Linked DNA regions of Callithrix jacchus. The protein of the gene in region 2 purifies or fractionates together with the protein of the main gene of each other region. This does not show direct contact. Links are inferred from orthologs where the notes say so. Each region holds a gene or a part of one and is shown on either strand. Other genes may lie near its edges.

What was found.
Region 1: the proteins of GBA2 (region 2) and HACL2 purify together in Homo sapiens (co-immunoprecipitation; 3 studies listed by BioGRID and IntAct, counting the BioPlex papers as one, with this or other methods). This does not show direct contact. The link is inferred for Callithrix jacchus from reciprocal best matches to the Homo sapiens genes GBA2 and HACL2.

Annotation. Positions count from the first base shown.
Region 1 is NC_133523.1:13,830,445-13,836,639, forward strand, and holds the start of HACL2 (2-hydroxyacyl-CoA lyase 2), read right to left. Parts: upstream 3,526-6,195; 5' UTR 3,415-3,525; intron 3,256-3,414; 5' UTR 3,177-3,255; intron 2,887-3,176; exon of another isoform or gene 2,868-2,886; 5' UTR 2,858-2,867; coding exon 2,723-2,857; intron 1,431-2,722; coding exon 1,229-1,430; intron 1,130-1,228; coding exon 1,002-1,129; intron 917-1,001; coding exon 778-916; intron 689-777; coding exon 577-688; intron 1-576. UniProt on the Homo sapiens protein: Endoplasmic reticulum 2-OH acyl-CoA lyase involved in the cleavage (C1 removal) reaction in the fatty acid alpha-oxydation in a thiamine pyrophosphate (TPP)-dependent manner. Involved in the phytosphingosine degradation pathway.
Region 2 is NC_133502.1:142,643,666-142,649,116, forward strand, and holds part of GBA2 (non-lysosomal glucosylceramidase), read right to left. Parts: intron 3,605-5,451; coding exon 3,386-3,604; intron 3,068-3,385; coding exon 2,828-3,067; intron 2,610-2,827; coding exon 2,507-2,609; intron 2,343-2,506; coding exon 2,189-2,342; intron 2,104-2,188; coding exon 1,978-2,103; intron 1,781-1,977; coding exon 1,608-1,780; intron 1,411-1,607; coding exon 1,306-1,410; intron 1,113-1,305; coding exon 1,005-1,112; intron 907-1,004; coding exon 755-906; intron 636-754; coding exon 529-635; intron 374-528; coding exon 231-373; intron 152-230; coding exon 36-151; intron 1-35. UniProt on the Homo sapiens protein: Non-lysosomal glucosylceramidase that catalyzes the hydrolysis of glucosylceramides/GlcCers (such as beta-D-glucosyl-(1<->1')-N-acylsphing-4-enine) to free glucose and ceramides (such as N-acylsphing-4-enine).

The DNA of each region.
Region 1 (6,195 bases), on a different chromosome or scaffold from region 2:
GACGAGGAGAACAAGGGAAGGGAGTGACCTGGAAGCCAGGGGGGACAAAGATGTGAAGGAAGGAAAGAAGCGGGAAGGAGAGGGCTCGAGTCTGGGCTCTGCCACTTCTTAGCTGTGTGACTTTGGGCAAGAGACTTCACCTTTTTGAGCTTCCTCCACTGTAAATATAAAAGTGAATCTCCCTTCTGAGGTTCAAGGATCATCCTTTAGGGAGAGGAAAATGGAGAGGATGAGGGGAAAGAGAGAGGAGGAAAGGGAGGAGAAGAGGAAGGATGAGGGAGGAGGAAAAGGAAGAAGAGATGATGGAAGAGGAGAAGAAAAGGAAGAAGAGGAGGAGGAGGGCTGTTCTGAGCCTCTCCCCTCTGCTGCCTCCATGAGGGCCACCTTGCTTCCCCCATCCACTCAATTCATTGCTGCCTCAGGACCTTTGCACATGCTGTTCCTTCTACCTGGAATGCTCTCTGCACAGCAGTCTCCTCCCAGTCCACATATGAATCAAAGGAGAATGGGCACGAGCTGGAAGCTGCAGGAGAGGACAGGGGATGGAGGAGGGAATGGCAGGGTGGGGCTATTCACCAGGAGACCGCTCGGCCCACAAGGCCCTTGGGTGGCTTGGCTGGCACCATCTCCTTCTGGACCATGAAGTAGGGGTACAGCACATCAATGGGCAGCTCCACAAACACCGGACCTGCGGGGACGGGGATGACACTGAGTCTGCAACACGCCTCCCCAGCCCCTCAGCCCCAGTGCTGCTCAGCACCACCATCCTCCACCTACCTGGGGTGCCCGACTGGGCAGCAGCCATTGCGGCCCTGAGGGTGGGCACGATGTCCCGAACCCTCCGCACGGATGCACAGAACTTACAGAGTGGCCGAAACAGGGACAGCTGATCCACGGCCTGGAGCGCACCCCGGTTCTGGCAAAGACAGAGGTGCGGCAGGGTTACCACATGAGCCCTTTAAGTCCCCCTGGGCCCCCACTGGCCGCCATGGACTGGGTACCTGCAGCAGAGTGCTGGCGGCCCCACCCAGAAGCAAGACTGGGGAATGGGCCATCTGAGCGTTCTTCACCGCAGTCACTGTGTTGGTGAGGCCAGGGCCAGCCGTCACTGCTGCCACTCCCACCGTTCCTGGAACACAGAGCCCATCACTGCCACGCCCACTCTTCTGGCCATTCTCCCACCACTATTCTATCCAACAGTCCCCAGCCCTCTCTGCAATGCCCTCACCAGACAGGCGGGCAGTAGCATCGGCAGCAAAGACAGCTGTGACCTCATGGCGTGTGTCCACCACACGGATGCCCAGTTTCTCACAGGCCACCAGCAGCGGGGAAATGTGCCCACCGACCAGCGTGAAGACGAACCGCACGCCATGGGCCCTCAGCACAATGGCCACGTTCTCTCCGCCATGCCGGACGCTTGCCTTGTCCACCTGGACCCAAGGAGTGGGTGGAGCAATAGAGTCAAAGGCCACGCCAGAGGACAGCTGGGAGAGGGGGCAATCCCCCTGACCCAGGTAAGGGGGCAGGAGCAGGGTGGGAGGTCAAGGGAAGCTTAGTCTTGGTTAGGCATATATTACACTACACACCAGGCTCAAAGCAAGGCAAAGCGTCTTATCAGAATTTCTTGTCATTACATCTCTTATAGCTGAGGACATCAACACTTGCCCAAGCAAGATTGAAAGTCCAATAGAACCCACACTCTTAAGTGCCATACTGTTACACTTCCTGCCTCCGGGATGGCAAGGCAATCAGGGAGAGAGGAGAGGGTTATATAACCCAGGAGGTTTAGCCAGGGCACAAGGCAGAGAGCCATTTGCTATGACTCCTGCCTGCCCTCTAGTATTGCTGCAGGGCCTGGCAGCTGGACTGCTGATCCCAGCCTCCCTGATGCCCTCTTGATGGATGTTAAACTGCCCTGAGCCACCATGTGCCTGGCACGGGAGTTAGCTCCTGGCACACACTGTACCGAGGCCTCCCAACCCCAGCAGCCTCACAGTTCCGCACATCCAAGGCTTGCTTTAAATCTCCACAAGTCCTGAAGGTCAGTGGCATCACCCCTGGCTAGCAGAAGAAGGACTAGAGAAGGGTTTGGGGAGGGAGAGGTCAAACTTGGTCCCTGCTAGGAGAGAAAGGGTTGAGAAGGGGGTCTGCGGAAGGGGTAAATTTCAAACAGGTGTGCAAGTAGTTCGTGGGGGAGGCATGTGGGGCCACCTAGGGAAAACTACCACACAATCTCTCTGAGACTTAGCTTTCTCCTGCAGAAAATGAGGTCAGAAAGAACAGCATCTACTTTCAAGGAAAAGGTAAGGGGTAGGTAAGAAAGTCTAAAGTGTTGAACTCAGCAAAGGGCAACTGTCACGAAACTCACTGCCATCTCCTTGCTGGTGCCTGCCCTCAGCCCCATCTATCCCATCCAGTTTAGGGAGCACAATCAGAGTGCTGTCTGTGAAAAGAGCCACTGGGGAAGGAGGTAGGCGGGGTTTGAGTGCCCGGGCAGAGGCCGCTTCCGTGTTCTCTATCACTAGTGGCAAAGTTCAGGCCCCCATAGGCAGGCAGCGTGGCAACGGAGACAGGGTCATGGACAGAACCTCTTACCAGTCCCTCTGGGCTAGTCGGGACTCGCTTTCCCACGCTGCACAATGAGGAGTGAACTGGAAGCAGCGTCCCAAGGCCCCTCCCTCTTTGGCTACCACCAGCCCGCTTCCCATTCCTTGCCCCGCACCTTGTGCAGCAGCTGATAGAAGAGTCCCAGGCGGTGCGCGGCGCCCAGCAAGGCGGCCACCAGCGTCCCGCAGGCCAGGAGCAGAAAGAAGGGGAAGAAACTCCCGACAGGGGCGGCGGCCTCCGGGATCTCCATGAGGTGGCACCTGATAGAGAAAGAGCACTGCCCAGACTGGGGCGCGACAGTGATCTTATTCGGAAGAAATCGCGCCCCCTCCTCCAGCCCGAATCCAGGGCCACGCCCCTTGGCTCCAGTTTCGGTGCGGCCACACCCCCAACGCTGCCAGGCCACGCCCCTTGTGCGCCTAGGCACTGGGTGAGGCCGCCTCTCTGAGACAAAGTCACGCCCCACGCGGCGCTAACCCCAGTCCTTTACGTCACCACCACTCCCACCCAAACTAGCCACCACAGGTCACGGCGGTGACAACAGCACTACACAGTTATCTTCCACTTACCTACTTCTCAATGGACAAGCGGAAGCCCCGCCTCTCTTTCCACAACGGGACCCCAAATCTCAGCCCCACGTTACGTCACCTAGAGGAACGAGGTCACGCCCCCTGAGTTAGAAGGAGCGACCCTCTGCGCAAGCCACGCCTCTCCCTTGGAGAGCGCACTGGCCCAAGCCACGAGTCGAGGTCGCATCGCATCAGTATGCGGTTCTCCGTCACCAGCTCGACCGCCGAGGTTATTCACCTTCACCTCCAGGATAGGGCGCTGCCTCCACCAGAATTCGGACCCCCTCCGTGTCACGTGACCCAGGAGCGCAGCCGTGCCCCTTTCGGCCACTTGGCTCAGCGGCGTCCCGTAGTCCGGCCGGTGCGCCTGCGCAGTCGGAACCACGCTCGGGGGGCCACGCGAAAGAGCCTTCCCTCTACTGGCCGCCTCGCGCGCAGGCCCCACCTACCCTAGCCTTTCATTGGCTTGCACTGCAGGCCTCGAAGCGATTTTTTTTTTTTTTTTTTTTTAAACCAGGAGGCCACGCCCCTCAGCGGCTCCAGGAGCGAAGACCTTTGGGGACCCACCTTCCACAGCCTGCCATTGGCCCCACATTTGCAAGCCCTAGGTTCAGGTCCTCCGAACACAGCTTGCTTTCCACATCAGTGTGGCCAGACCACTGCACCCTAGCCTGGGCAACAGAGCAAGAAGACCGTGTCTCAAAAAATATAATAATAATGCTTAAAATGGTAGATTTTATGTTATGTGTATTTCCACACTATAAGTATTTATGCATGTATATATGTGTGCGTATGTGTGTATATTGTTTATAAAAGAAATAGTAGCCAGCAAAGGAAACCCAAATTGAGGCACATTCTACAAAATGCCTGACCAGACCTCCAAAACTGTCAAGGTCATGAAAAACCAAGAAAGACCGAGGAACTGGCACAGACCAGAGGAGGGAAAGGAGACGTGAGAACTAAGTTTAATATACTACTCTGGGCTGAATCCAGGTATCAAAAAAAGGACAAATTTGTGGATAAAGCTGGTGAAATGCAAATAAAGTCTGGAGTTGAGTTAATAGTAATGAACCAGCGTTCATCTTTTTGTGTCAGTAAATGTATCATGGTTATATAAGGTGTTAACATTCAGGGAAGCTTAAGAGTAGACAAAAATTGGGCCCGGTGTGGTGGCTTACACCTGTAATCCCAGCACTTTGGGAGGCCAAGACAGGAGGATTGCTTGAGGCCACAAATTTGAGACCAGCCTGGGCAACAAACTGAGACCCTGTCTCTCAAAAAATAGATAAATAAAACTGAGGGAGGAGAGGCCAGGCACGGTGGCTCACGCCTGTAATCCCAGCACTTTGGGAGACCAAGGCGGGTGGATCACGAGGTTAAGAGATCGAGACCATCCTGGCCAACATGGTGAAACCCCATTTCTACAAAAATACAAAAAAATTAGCTGGGCATGGTGGTGCGCACCTGTAGTCCCAGCTACTTCGGAGGCTGAGGCAGGAGAATTGCTTGAACCCAGGAGGAGGAGGTTACAGTGAGCCGAGGTCGCGCCACTGCACTCCAGCATGGCACCTGGTGATGGAGTGAGACTCTGTCTCAAAAAAAAAAAAAAAAAAAAAAACTGAGGCAGGAGAATCGCTTGAGCCTGGGCGACAGAGTGAGACTCTGTCTCAAAAAAAAAAAAAAAAAGGCAGAAAAATTGGCTGTTTGGGAGGCTGAGGAGGGAGGATCGCTTGAACCCAAGAGGTTATAGTGAGCTGTGATTGTGCCAAGCTTGGACAACAGAGCAAGACCCTGTCTCTTTAAAAAAAAAAGGGGGGGGGAATGGGGGAGGAGGAAACAAATACCAAGTATCTAAATTGATTGATATTTAAAGAGAAGTGCAACAAATTATAAAGTTAGAGGGATACAGTATGGGCATTTCTTAGCTAGGATGAGCAGGAGGACTCTCTAAGGAGGTGACAGTTGAGCAGAGAGACCAGGAGAAAGTGAGGGCATGGACCCCACAAGGATCTGGGGAAAGAGTAATCCAGGTAGAGGAGATGGCACATGCAAAGGCCCTGAGGTGGTTTGTTAATTTCCGTTAGTGGCCTTAACACATTACCACAAACTTAGTGGCTTCAAACAACAGGAATTAATTCTCTTACACTTCTGGAGACTGGAAGTTCGGCCTCGAGGCATCAGCTGGGCCACACATCTCTAAAGATCTCTAGGGGAGGATCCTTACCTCGTCCAACTACAAGGGGCCCCAGGCATCCTGTGGCGTGTGGCTGCAGCACTCCAATTTCTGCGTACATCTTCCGACAGCCTTATTCCCTGTGCCTGCACCTCCTCCTCTGTCTCTTACAAGGACACTTGTCATTGCATTTAGGGACCACCCTAATCCAGGAGAGCCTCATCTTGAGACCCCTCACTTAACTACTTCTTCAAAGGCACATTTTCCAAGTAAGGTCAAATTTGCAGGTTCTGAATGGACATTTGAGGGTCCACCATTCAACTCATTACAAACGGCATGGGATTTGCATGTGCAGAGAAAGTCAGGAAAGCCAGGATAGCTGGAAGAAAGAGAGCAAAGAGGAGGCAAGGAGGAGATCCCATCAAAGGGTAGACAAAGGACAGGCAGGTGTGATTTTACAGACTGCATGAGGACTGAGAATTTTATTCTAAGTGAACTAGAAAGCCAGAGAGGATTTTGAACAATATTCAACTGCACGCAACCTGCATGTGATTATTCATAGGAGCTTTATTTGCAATAGCCAAAAACTGGAAAAAAAAAACGAAATAGCCCTTAAGAGGGGAATGGTTAAACAAACTGTGAGACACTCACATCATGAAACGCTGCTCAGCAATAAAGAGGGCAAACTACTGAAACGACAGGCCAGGTGCAGTGGCTCACGCTTGTAATCCCAGGACTTTGGAAGGCCAAGGTGAAAGGATTGCTTGAGCCCAGGAGTTTGAGACCAGTCTGGGCAACAGAGTGAGGCCCCCATCTCTACAAAAAATATATATTTTTTAATAAAAA
Region 2 (5,451 bases):
CAGTTTTCTCTCTGGCTCCTCCTACACTCTCTCACCTCAGTGTCTCCTTCTCCTAGGCCACAGGCCTTCAGGAACCACTGTCCAGCACACTGGTCAGACATAACACTACGAGACTGAGGCTGAGAGCTGCTGTCATAGTTGTAATAGCGGCCTGGAGTCAAGGAAGTGCAAAATAAGGCTCCTGTTGTCCCCACAGCTGCCTTAAGACTACTTAGGCTCCCCGAACTCACCATTCCACAGCAATCTCTCATAGGCTTCTTGGCCCCGGCTGAGGATGGAAGAAAACTTATCCTGGATGTCCTGTGCCCCACACACAGCAGCCATCTGGACCATCACAGCCACAGCTGCCAGCCACAGCCCTCCACAGTAAGCACTGATGAGGGACATGGGTTTGGGGGTCAGAATGACAGCTTCAGCAGCTCTCATGCAGTGAGATGACTCAAAGAATGAGTCATTCTTTCTTGAGCCCTACAATCCCTTGGTGCCCGTTTCCCACCTCAGGCTTCCTGGAAACCCCTACCCGCTAACCTGGGGCCAGTGGTCACCCATCCATCATAGGTCTGGTCTGCATAGCCTCCATTTTCAATGAGTCCATCATGGTCCTTGTCAAACTTCATTTCAGATTCCATCACAGCCTAGAGAGGGACCAAGATACTGAAGATCTAGGTACTGAGGAAAGGTAACAACCAGCTAGGTTGTTCCCAAACACGAGCCACACCCCTGGCACACTAGCCACTGCATGTGCATCCCTTACTAGACACACAGGCCACATGTCCTTCAGGAAGTTTTGATCACCCGTCAGGTAATAGTCCCGATAAACCTGCAGCACAAACTTCAGGTTCAGGTCCTTCCAGTCAGCAGTATCATGGATCAAATATGCATTGACCCGGAGCCATGGTTCATCATCTGTGGGAAAGGAGGGGACCTGGGTCATTTGCATTGGTCAGTAGGGTAGAGGGTGCAAAAGTTGAGGGAGGGAAGCTGACCTTGTGGTGGACTTTTACCTGGGTCCCCAATATCATGGGGGATGACGTTCCTCCTTTTCACAGGTGCCATCACCCCACTCATCAGATACCGTCGCCGTGTCAGGTCCTCCCTGAGAGTGGCCAGAGCTAGGGGAGCAGATACACAATGGAGGCAGGGAATGGGCAGGCTTTAGCTATGTGTGTGACCCCAGTGAGGAACCAGTAAGCAGCATGCAGATAGGTTTGAAGGGAAGGGAAAGAAGAGACAATCTGAGATATCACAGAGGTTCAAGGGTATGGGCAGCCAAGAGGGCAGAAGTGGCACAAAAGGGACCCTCACCCATGTCATACTGTAGGCTGAGCTCAAGTTTGGGCCAGAGCATGATGAGGGCAAAGGAAGCATAAAAATGAACATCATATGTGTTGTACATGCGGTACTCCTGGCCTGGAGGAATGAATGAGACAAGTTCTGTTGCTAGAATTCCCGCTTCCCCTTCAAACTCCTCTCTACCTTGTCCTCTAGAGTTGGAGGTGGGACGCTGTCACTTACCCCCTCACCCTAACCAATACCCTGAGGTAGGCAAATCCATCATCCTGCCTTGGGGATGGCCTGCCATATCCTAGCCCACCAGCATCCTGTACCCTCAAGGTAGCCAAATCGACCGTAATCCCGTAGAGTGGGGCGGAGGTGACACATGTTCCCATCCAGCTCCTGTGGTAGGGAGTCCTCACGAACTTCCAGCCATACTGTGCCTCCATCGGCCAGGAAATACAGTTCATTAAACAGTGCAGATTTGTACCAGGCAGGCAACAATCTGGGGAGTGAGGGGGAGGAAATGGCTTAAGGAACATGTACCTCCCAAGACAGAAAGGATTTTGGGGTTCAGCAGAGTGGTAGCACCAAATGAATCCCCGTGTAAGTTTACTGACTTTGGTGGGTGGAGAGTGAATCGAGGAGTCCCATTTGGAGTGAGTGCCTAGGAGAAAGGAAAGCGATGGGCCCCACTGGCACCTGTCATCCAGTACTGGGTTCTGCCAAGCTGAGATCCTCTCTTCCCACTCTGTGTATTGGCACAGTGCATAGTGGCTGAGGGCAGGTGCTGCATCTCCATCCTGGCCAAAGAACCTTGTATACCGCCTGGGGTAGAAAAAAAATGGATGAACACAAGCCCCAGGTCAGAGCCCCAGTGCCTTGGATCCTTATACTTTCTTGGTCCCCTCACCTGTAGTGGACTTGGCCTTTAGCTCCAAACATGATCCTGGGCATGTCCCAAGCCAGTGAAAACTCCAGGCGGCACTGGCCTCGAGGTCGCAACTTGCTGGAAACACACACAGCTCCAGCAACACCTACTCCTTTCTGCGTGGGGGTGCTTTGGCCTGAGAGAAGCACAAGAGGATTCAGGACAGGAGCCACTTCAGCCCCAGGGATAGGGATCCATAACATGGAAACAAGGCCTACTCATTAACAGGCCTCCCACCCCTGGTCCCAAGACAGGGACAACCTCTCTTCCCACCATCTCCCAGTCAGACCCCCCCATCACCAGCGGGAGAATCCAGCTGTCCATCCTGAAGTAGATCCTGCCACACCTGCTGCCCCGTGCCGTCAGGGTCAAAGGCTGTGATGTGGGTTACCGTGGTATCTGCCTGTGAAGGGGCCAGGGACTGTAAGGGCAGGCTCTACAAGTACACTGAATCCCGGCTAGCTCCCCCGCTCCTCTTACTTACCCTCACCTCCCAGGCCCCAGGGGCTTACAGGCTATGATGAGGGTGAATGAAGTGACCATTCTGGGGTGGAGGTGGTACAGGGGCTAGGCTAAGAGTGGGATTCAGGGGCTAAGGTATAGGGCAGGCTCTTTCCTTACCGTGACTCGTGCAGCCACAGCCATTGTGTAGGGGTTTGGAAGGGTTGGATGATGCAACAGCAGCCCCTGGACAGTTTTCCCATCACGCTCCAGATGGAAGGGCTCATTCCACAAACCCCCTGGGGCATCGTCTCCACCCCCCAGTCCATTCCGCATGGAAAACATGATGGACACATCTAGATCTTCGTCCCCTTCATTTTCCACATCCCACACAAAGACTCCTACAGGCAGGCTGCTGTCCTGGGGGCAGAAGGTTAGACTCAGACAGTCCCATAGAGCCCCTCCTGACCCCACTCTCTTAGGATCGGTCCTGGGCGCACCAGGGACCTGACTCAAATACTCCCCAGCGTACTCTTTTTGTCCACTTGCGTCTCCCCGTATTCCCAGGCAAGCAGCCTACCAGGGGACACAGAAGACTAGAACCAATTGGGCGGTGGTTCTGGGAAGCCAGCGTGATGCTCATGGCTCCAACCTCCCTTTCACAGGCCATGCAGTTTCTAGCAGAAGCAGGTCCTGGGGAAGGGAGGGCAATGGAAGATACAGATGTGGGGGTCTCACCTGGTAGTCATGGGGCAAGATGGGTGTGATCTGACGACAGGTGAGGGTGACATTCTGGCCAGGAAGCTGATAGACAGTCCAGGCTCGGGGATAGAGGGCGTGGTAGAAAGCAAAGTACCCACACAGGCCCCAGTTCCAGCTGCGCAGGACACTTGGGCGCTCCAGGGACAGGACTTGTTGGTACACAGTCTGCCCTTCCCGACGCAGGCACACTGTGAACTTAAGAGGGCAGATAGGCTGGAACGGGGTAACCCACAGGCAACACAAACTAAGTCTTCTCTCCCCTCCAATCAGCTCCTCCCCTTTCAGAGCTTGCAACTGTTACCACTGCACCATCAGCTTCTGGTCATCCCCCAAGCTCAGTGAATCACCAAGTCCTGCTGCCTCCCCCTCCATCTATCTCCTAAGCTTTCTCTCCCTTTACTATGGTGGTGTTAAGCCCAAACCAATCTCATGCTTTTTCTGTGTCGTTTAAGCCCAAACCAATCTCCTGCTTTTTCTCTGCTCCTTTTCATCTGGGTCGTAGCAGAGTGATTTTTCTCACAGGCAAATGAAGATATGTTAGTCCTTGGTTAGAATGTTTCAGTGACTCCCCATGCCCTTCAGGCTGAAGTCTCAACTCTTACTTGGCTTTCAAGGCCCTTCTTGAGCTGGCCTCTCCCTGCCCATCAGATTCATTACCTGTTCAAGCACCTATATTGTGCTCATATAAAAATACTCACTTTTCCTTGAGCATACTACATTCCCTCCTCCATGCCTGTGCTCATGCTCATTTGCCATGTGGTGAAACCTCTCATCCTTCAAAGCCTAGGTCAAATGCCATCTCTTCCTCCTGCTCTTCTTCCTTTAGTAGTGAGTCATTCTGTGTGCCCCCCTCCCCCTCTATTCTAGCATTTGGTGAATTATGTTATAATGTATTGGCTGACCATTGTGTGTCCCTGACTGTTCTATGGATTCTTCTGAGGGTAGGGACATTTTCTAATTCACTGATGCACCCTTCTTCAGAAGGCATGTATGTGGAGGGAATGAGCGAAATCTGCAGCGCCGTCCCTTTTTCTGCAGTATACTATCCATTCCTCTCCTTTTGGCCCTGATGTGGTTTCACAGTCTCCATTTCCCCTAAGTCTTATTTTCTCAAAAAAAGTTTAAGCTCTTGGATGGTAGAAGCTATGAGGGATCAATATCCCTTTCCCTGGTTCAAACTATGCCAAATATTTTTATTGTATACAGTCGGCTCTCTGTATCTGTCAGTTCTGCATCTGTGGATTCAACCAACTGAATCTAAAATATTTAAAAAAAAATGTGCATCTGTACCGAATACGTACACACGTTACTTCTTGCACAGTATGACAAAGGTTTATGTAACAATGTATGAGGTATTATAAGTAATCTACAGATGGTTTAAAGTATATAGAAGGTTATGCATAGGTTATCTGCAAATACTGTATGCCATTTCAAATAAAAGACTTGAGCATCCTTGGGTAATGGGTGCTGGGCCCAACCTCCGCCCCCACCATGGATACTGAGGGACAACTGTATACAATAATTTTTCATTTTGTTGGAATGGTACATAATGGTTAAGACCACAAGCTCTTCACCACAGAGAGAAATGGTTCTGAATCCCAGCCTTTCCATTTACCAACCTTGTGACCTTACACATGTTACTAAACCTCTCTGGATCTTAGTGTCCTTATCTGCAAAATGAGCATAATAGTGGTACTTGCCTTGTAGGATTGTTTTTAATATTCGACAGTATACAAAGAGCCTGGCGCAGTGTCTAGCACATGTTAAGCATGCAGTAATTACTTTAATTGTGGAGTCACATTTCTGGAAACAATTTGCCTCAGGATACCTAAGGGATGAGGCAGAGAGGGATCTTGGGACATAGGCAGGGCTGGTAAACCTGAACCAGGAAGGGCACTGTCATTAATTGAACTAAAGATCTGCTAGTCATTTTTCCTTTGAAGATGAGGCTGAATGCTCGAGCCAGGAAAGAGGAACTTCCTAGACAACTCAAAAGGGGTGGTCACTAGAGAGACATGATGAAAGGCAGGCTACATACTTCT